2 linked regions of the Arabidopsis thaliana genome follow. The protein of the gene in region 2 interacts with the protein of the main gene of each other region in a pairwise test. Each region holds a gene or a part of one and is shown on either strand. Other genes may lie near its edges. The genes, in order: WRKY26 and AT1G78410.

The links.
Region 1: the proteins of AT1G78410 (region 2) and WRKY26 interact in a two-hybrid assay, tested with the Arabidopsis thaliana proteins (one study listed by BioGRID).

Annotation. Positions count from the first base shown.
Region 1 is NC_003076.8:2,202,517-2,206,543, reverse strand, and holds WRKY26 (WRKY DNA-binding protein 26), read right to left. Parts: upstream 2,297-4,027; 5' UTR 2,232-2,296; coding exon 2,079-2,231; exon of another isoform or gene 1,937-2,078; coding exon 1,811-1,936; exon of another isoform or gene 1,732-1,810; coding exon 1,379-1,731; intron 1,282-1,378; coding exon 1,153-1,281; intron 1,066-1,152; coding exon 897-1,065; 3' UTR 733-896; downstream 1-732. Other genes in the region: PRA1.B6 (prenylated RAB acceptor 1.B6), read right to left, coding at 1-423; AT5G07090 (Ribosomal protein S4 (RPS4A) family protein), read right to left, coding at 2,739-3,167, 3,261-3,358, 3,446-3,626, 3,735-3,812. UniProt on the Arabidopsis thaliana protein: Transcription factor. Interacts specifically with the W box (5'-(T)TGAC[CT]-3'), a frequently occurring elicitor-responsive cis-acting element.
Region 2 is NC_003070.9:29,500,618-29,504,667, reverse strand, and holds AT1G78410 (VQ motif-containing protein), read right to left. Parts: upstream 2,087-4,050; 5' UTR 1,941-2,086; coding exon 1,614-1,940; 3' UTR 1,170-1,613; intron 935-1,169; 3' UTR 730-934; downstream 1-729. UniProt on the Arabidopsis thaliana protein: May modulate WRKY transcription factor activities.

The sequences.
Region 1 (4,027 bases), on a different chromosome or scaffold from region 2:
GGACAGGCAGAGTATCCCTAGCGTCTCAAGATCGGAGAACGTGCGTCCTCCAATGACCAACGGCTGATCCGCCGGACGGAAAAAGTAGAGGAAAAGCCAAGAAGCGGCCAGCGATGCGAGGAGGAAGAGAGCGAAAGGGTGCGTGAGCAGAGACGCGGCGAGTAAGATTGCCACTAAGGTTATGTAATTGGCTCGGAAATAGGAAAAGTTCTTCCTTACTCGTGACGTTGCCTCCGAGAGCGATGGTGGCCGGGAAAACGCTGACCGGTCAACGAGCTCTGCCCAGGGTCTGGCATCTGCAGAAGCGTGACGGACGGTGGCTAGAACGCGGGACAAGAGGACGCGTAGAGAGCTCAGCAACTGTGGATCGCCGCCGGGAAGTTGATCAGGAGTAGTCGAAGTTGGGAGAAGAGGAGAAGCCATTGCAGCAGATCTACTTTGCGGACAAAGTCAGAGAGTGCAGAGAGAGATCTAAAAGTAAATGGCTTTCACGATTTGCTGGCTTTACTTCAAACTGTCGGCTACTATCACATGTGCTTTTGCGTCTTTCTTTCTTTTTAAAGAAACATAAAAATATTCCGCTCTTTGTAGTAATATACATTTATGTGTATGCCTTTGTGTGTTTATCACATCATTTGCCACCATCCATTCCATTCCATCATCATCATGTCAAACACTTGGTGTGATGTATGTTTGATTTAATATCTTGAAACAGTTGAATAAAGATTTATCGTCGGTAGTGAACATAGGGGGCAAAATGATGGAGAAGCTTGGAACTTTAGCCTCTGCCTAGTCCTGATCAGTTATGTGTGTATAGGCGCATGATTAAGGAAACATACTATATATGAATGAAAGATTACAATAGGAATGCTGAAATGCCAAAACTCATTTGCTCTTTATGTCTCTGTTTTTCCAAGTAACCTTAAAACTGGACCTCTTCTTGGGGTCGGGATTTGGTGTTTGTGTTTTCCTTCGTAAGTTGTGATCACTGACTTGGGATCTTGAAATGCTCTTTCAACGTGTTTCCTTACAAAACATCCTGTAAATGTGCACTTGTAATAGCTCCTGCACATCACAAATTTAACTAACTTATAGCTCAAGCTTCAAGCCTCCTTTTCATTCAGAATTGACAAGAGAAAAATAAAACCACACCTTGGATTTGGATTACCCTTGACGACTTTCTGACCATACTTTCTCCATCTGTAGCCATCGTCAAGAATGTCTATATCACTTGTTGTCTGAACCACCACTCTTGGCTCCTTCACATTCTCTTCTCTTTTCCTGCATTTATAAGCCATTCACAACAAATCCAATCAGACATCTCATTGTCTCCTCATCCTTTTGGTTTCAGTTACTTAATTATGAGTCTGCTAATTACCATCTCTTGGCCTCTGTTTCATCTTCACCAATGTCTTTACCGTCTCCATTACTGCTGTTCTGATGTGCTGCTATAGCGGTGGAAGATGATCGCTTCGTGGATTGGGGCTTGGGATGATTGTGGCTTCCTTTATAGACAATCTCAATCATCTGACCCTTCACAAGAGACGTCTCTACTTTCTTCTTTGTGAGACAATTTGGATACGTGCATTTGAAGTAACTCCTCGGGTTTTCGCTTCCTTTGACTTGCTTCTGCCCGTATTTGCGCCAATTGTAGCCGTCATCAGAGGTTTTGTTACTCGACATGATTTCGGATTTGAATAAATCCAGTTGAGGTAAAGGCTGAGTTACCATCTGAAAATGAGATAGTTTAAAACTAGAATGTCTTAAGAGATAATAAAGCAGAAGCTAAAAATGCAAAAATGGATCCTACAGATGGTAGGAACAAGGGAGGAGTTGTGTCTTCATATTTGATTTCATTTTTGTCAATGAGCAAACCGTTATTGTTATAGTTCAGAGATTGCGCTGGAAATGTGCCTGTCGTAGGAGACGGCAAAATCTGTGATTTCAAGATCAAAGAAGAAGATGATATGAGAGAAGAAGAAGGGAAATGGACAAATCAAGAACCTTGAATTCTTTCAATATTCCAAGATAAGGACAAACAATCATAGTTTGAAACGTTGGAGGAGATAGATAGATACGTTGGAGGAAGTGAAGAGAAGAGGAGAGTCGAGAAAGTCGGCGGGAGTAAGGCCAGGAGGCATAGTGAAGTAAGGCGAAGGAGAAAGAGGGAGCGGTGACGGTGTTGCTGTTTTGAATTTCGGAACAGCTCTTTGGCGATCAAAAGAGCCCATCAATGGTTTACGTATGAGGTACTCTTCTTCTTCTTCTTCTTCCTATATTAAATTACGAGTTGGATAGAAGGAAAGGATGTTTCCAAGGAAAAGCAAGCAATTATAAAAGATAAGCTTGTGACCAAGTGTGAAGCGTGTGTATTCAAAACACCAAAATGTTTGACTTTTTTGTGTAAGGCGGCTGAATTCACATCACTTTCAGGAGTCCTTGAGGTCTTCTTCTAGATTACTTAATGCCAAGAAAATAATATCTATTACTCATCTCTCAACAACTAATAGCGCAAAGCAAAGGAGAAGACTAAGCAAAGGAGTGGACCAACTGTCATCTGATTTAAACGGTAAATCACCAAAAAATCCACCATACAAACATTACAAAAAGCACTACTCAGCTATTTTTTGATGGGTTTTGAAATCCAACAACATAAGAAAAGAAATAGACTCACAAACTGAGACAAGCAGCGAGTCTGTAAAAGAAACGGGTCTTGATGATTCAAAGCAGTTGGACTTTCAAGCAGCTTGCTGGGAAGCAAGTCTCTTCCTGGCTTCCTCAATGATGGTCAGCTTAATACCTTTGCCCTTTGGAAGAGACACCCATGGCTTTGTTCCTTTGCCGATTGTGTACACATTCCCCAACCTTGTGGCAAACTCATGCCCTGTTGAGTCTTGAATGTGGATTGTCTCAAAGCTTCCCTTATGCTTTTCACGGTTCTTAATCACACCCACACGCCCTCTGTTTCTGCCTCCAGTCACCATCACAACGTTACCCACGTCAAACTTGATGAACTCAACAATCTTGTTCTCCTCAAGGTCCAGCTTGATGGTGTCATTTGGCTTGATGAGCGGGTCAGGGTAACGGATGGTGCGACCATCATAAGTGTTCAGGTATGGAATTCCCTTCTGACCAAACTGGATAGATCTAACCTTGCAAAGCTTGAACTGCACATTCAAGCAGAAAAAGACTAATCAATCTTCTAATTCCAATCACTAGTTCTAATTCCAGTCAAGATCTAAGAAGAGAGTGCAACAAACCTTTGCTTCCTCATCCTTGATGGAGTGGAGACGGAAACGTCCCTTGGTGTCGTAGAGAAGACGGAAGTTCTCATTGGTCTTGGGGATGGATACAACATCTATTCAAACCATAATGCAATTTAGTTCAGTGATCAAATACATACGACAAAAAGGGCAGACATAACTGGAAAAAAAAAAAGACATACCCATGAAACCAGCAGGGTAAGTCTTGTCAGTCCTGACTTTGCCATCAACTTGGATATGCCTTTGCATCAAGATAGAGATAACTTCACGGTAAGTCAAAGCATACTTCAACCTGTTCCTGATGATCAGGACAAGAGGAAGACACTCCCTCGACTTGTGAGGTCCAGAAGATGGTTTGGGAGCCTACAACAAGAAACAGCATAAAAATGATCGATACAAACACATCAACATTACAGAACAAATGTAATGAATTGTCTTAAAAACACAAGATTGATGAGACAAACAACTTACGAAGGCACCACCAAGTTTGTCAAGCATCCAATGCTTAGGAGCATTGAGCCTCTTTAGATGCTTCTTCAATCCTCTTGCCTGCATAATCACATTTGATATATAAAAGGTCAAAACAACAGACGATTCAATCAATAAAAAGTTATCACATTTGACAGAGCCTAGTCAAAAGTACACTACCCAGAAGCTCAATTGTCAAGAAAAATACAACATCGCAGTCTGAAACATTTACAGGTACGGTCTACGGCATGAAACGAGAAAACTAGAGTCGCCATTGTCCTAAGAAACTAACCAAA
Region 2 (4,050 bases):
ATAGGGAAAAAAAACAGAGAGAGATTAGAACAAGTTCTGTATCTGCAAATTTCTTTTTAATATTTCGACGGAAAAATCTCAGAAGAGAGAGAGAGAGAGAGAGAGAGAGAGAGAGATGGTGATGATGTGGAGAAGCTAAAAGGGAACAGGAAACGATGGAGTAAGAGACGAGCCAAAGAATCCAACTCTTTGCTTCTTTCTTCCTCTCCACGCGCTTCTTTCTTCGCGTGTGTTTTTCATTTTCGTGTAAAACGACGTCGTTACGTTTATTTATGTTTTTTTTTGTTTGTTGACCAAAAAAGGATTAGAATATACGAAATCTTGTGAAGGCGGTTTTGTCTTAAGCACCGAGTTGGATCAGAATAATGTCTTTTTTAACATTTTATTCTTTAATTGTATCTTTGTTTGTCGCATTTGCATAATTGTATAGTCCAATATTCGTAATTTACCATCAAATTTATTAATGGAAAAAAATAAAGAAGTTAGTATCTTTGGTGTGTTACGAGACTCATTATGTGTTCAAAGTTTTGGTGATATTTCATAAACTAGATTAGTCGGCGTTAATGTTATATTTAATTGAATTTAAAAATGGTTCTTGTTGACGACAATATAGCTTAGTAGGTTCTACTTCTATTAGCTAATAATTTTTAATAGACTTGTATTGTATGTTGACGTATAATGTTTCGGATAATCGTTGAATCAACCCAACTATATACCAGAAAAAACCCTGAAAATAACTACCAGAAAGCTAGATTAAGAAAGAACGTTAAATAAAACAAGAATTGTAGATGAGACGATTAAAATCGTGAGTGTGTTTTGGGTTGATGAAAGGAAATGGTTCACCCAACACAAAATTGGTTAAGGTTGGTTAGAGAAGGTTAACCATGAGTTTTGTTGCTATTTGCCTCAGCCATTTACGCACTTACACAAAAACCTGTTTTATATATAAACACAAGAAGATTAGTTCATATAATGCTTCATTTGGTTGTTGTGAACTGTATCGCATGTTGGATTCTAAAAATTGTGAAATAGTCACAAGAATTAAACAGTTTTTAGTGAAATTACTAATTTTAGTGAAATCAAAATTCTTTTAGTTAAAAACATTATTTTGCAAGAAAAGAAAAACATGAAATATAAATATATAAAAAATATGGAAAAAAAAGTAATACCTAGTTGGACTTGGGTAGCAAAGACGCCCCATAGAGAAAAGCCCATAGTTGAGGCCTGACTTCTTAATCTGCTAGTCGCTTTCAATGCCTTTGTCACACACTCACACTTCTTGTTTTGATAATTGGTTCTAAAACCCAAATACACAGAAAATAAGAGAACCAAGTATTAATCTCGCATATACTTGGGCTTCATGGTCCTTTTAAACAACATATGAAAGCTATAATAAGCCCGTTTAAAATTCGGAGACATGGGCCGTACTGAAAGGTAACTCATAATTACTTTCCAAAACACAACATTCGTTATTGGACCTAATCTCAAGAGTGACGATCCAGTTAAGATGATTAAATCAAATCAACAACAACATTATCTCATTAGATAAAAAAGAAAAGATTTTGGAAGAAAACGAATGATTTAAAAATCATTGCACAGAAATTATTAATGACTCAATATTCTGACCATAGTTTATACAATTCTTCCATGTGAGGCATCTCTTTGAATAATCTATCGAACTCCGTCGTCGTCCCCATTCGTCCTCCTCCGCCGCCACCGCCGTGGAGCTGTCTGGTATCTTCACCGATTTTACTACCGCCATCGTAACAACGGCCGTCGAAAGCAGAGGGCGAATCAAAAGGACCGGCGGCGACGATGGCGTTCTTACCGGTGAGTTCTTGAACAACGGTCTTGAAGCTACGAGCATCTGTCTCAACATACTGTGTGTTAATGAACACAACCTTCATCGGCTCCGATTTCACTTTCCCTCTTCCAGACATTATTACTAAATTAATCGATTAGAGAAACAAGAAAAGAAAATTTTGTGGTGTTGATGATTAGGTTGATCAAATGATCTTAGTACTTAGTATATATCAGCTTTAGCTCTCTTCCTGTGTCTTTGGGTGTTCAGATGTTTTGTAGATTTATATGCATAGTTGCATACTTAGGTATTTATAGAGAGATTAAAGAGAGAAAGATATAATCTCTGTGGGGTACTGAAGTGACTCATTCAAGTAAATTTTTTCGTATTCTTTTTGAAACGATTTTATAATCGTAATCTTGTCCTACATGAAAACATATGTGACGACCTATTTTTTTCTTGTTTTTTTTCTTCCTGACGTCATGATACATTTTCGACGACCAACGTTTTTTATCATATTCGTTGAATTCCTAATAAATATTTTCCTAATTATTATATTGGCCGAAAATATTTACGGCTCTAGTCTAGAAATGCTTACCAATGAATTTTATGAATGAAGAATTTTTTTGACTAATTAAAGACTTTTTATACATCTGTTGATGAAACAATTACTGCATTCTGTATATTCTTTAGAATTTAACAGCAACGGTAAACTTAAAACAATTTTGAAACTGCAAGAAAATAACTTAATAGTAATTATTTAAAATCAAAGATTAACTACATATAATTATTTTTATAACCTATTGTTGAGAATATTAAACAAGGTAACTATTTGTTATACAAAGCAACAATCATTCAACATTTACTGAGATCAATCGAAAAGCACATGGCTTTGTGCATAGATAGGACCTTTGATCATTAAGACATGTTGACCGTTAATAAAATCTAGCAGCCTTGAAGGACCAAACATTAAAATTTATATATCACTATCACCATCAAAAGTATTAAAATTACCAAAAATCATAGTGTATTTTCATTAGATTGGGTCAAAGCACGCCTTCTTTGATGAAATCCTGTTACATCACGTGAAACAGCCTAAGAAAAAACTACTGAAAACTTACCAAGTATTTACACGTGAGTAGAATTTTGCACGTCCCCCCACACTATTTCGTTATGACAAAATATAATCGTCTTTGATTATGCTTCTAGAAAATAGTAAGGTGATGTCATTTTTTTCTTCAAAAGGTGATGTCTTTTTTTTCCATCGACAAAGAAAACACTAATGGCTTTAGTTTATTTTTTCAAGATAAAAATTTCTAATCAAAACATCCCAAATGGGGCTTTTAGTTAATAACCATGTTTTCCCTTTTTCCACAGCCAACAGCATATGAAAATTTTATACGGTTTAAAACATAAAAAATAGGAGGTAACATATACTCACATCATTGTAAGGTAAATTTTAAATGTTTGCATCTTGAATTATATTGATATATAGATTTTATTTTATTTTAAATATTGATATAAATGAGTAATGGATCATATTTTTGTAGATTTTACTATTTAAAAGAGATTAGAAAAAAAAAAAAAAAAAAGAGATTAGAAGTTCAGCATGATGCACAAGAAGTCACTGATAGTTACATACGATGTTTCATGGGGAGTTTCATAAAGGGACCCAATCATTCATTCAATTCCCTGAATTTTTGTTTTGTTGACTCAGACTTTCACTAACAAAATTCTTCTCAGAAATTGCAAATTAGTTCATTGTACGGTTGTACTTTTGCGATAGCCCTAATTATTTTCAGTTGTTACCAACCACACAAAAATTATATTGGCTTTACCAAAATTTTCATATGAAGAATAAAATTATATATGGATCAGTTTAAGCCTTAAGGTAAATACAAATCAATCCGTTATCATTTATCACTACACTACAACTTTTAGAAGTTGATACGTAATTATGTATAGTCTATTTTTTGTTTGTTGATAAAATTTGGTGCAGTACGTTATTGTACGTACAGTTTTGATATCAATATTAATAGACTGATGAACATACAAAGGGAAAGTCAAGTTTGGCTATAACGGATCAGAGTAAGGTTTTGACTACAAATCTTGACTCAGGAACCTGACTGTTTTTTATTTGATCGCCTTTGAAATTAAGTATATACAAAGTTTGAACAGATTAGTTATTTTATCTCAGCTTTTACCGCCGGTAATATATAGTTAACTATTTCGACTGGGGTAAGTTATGT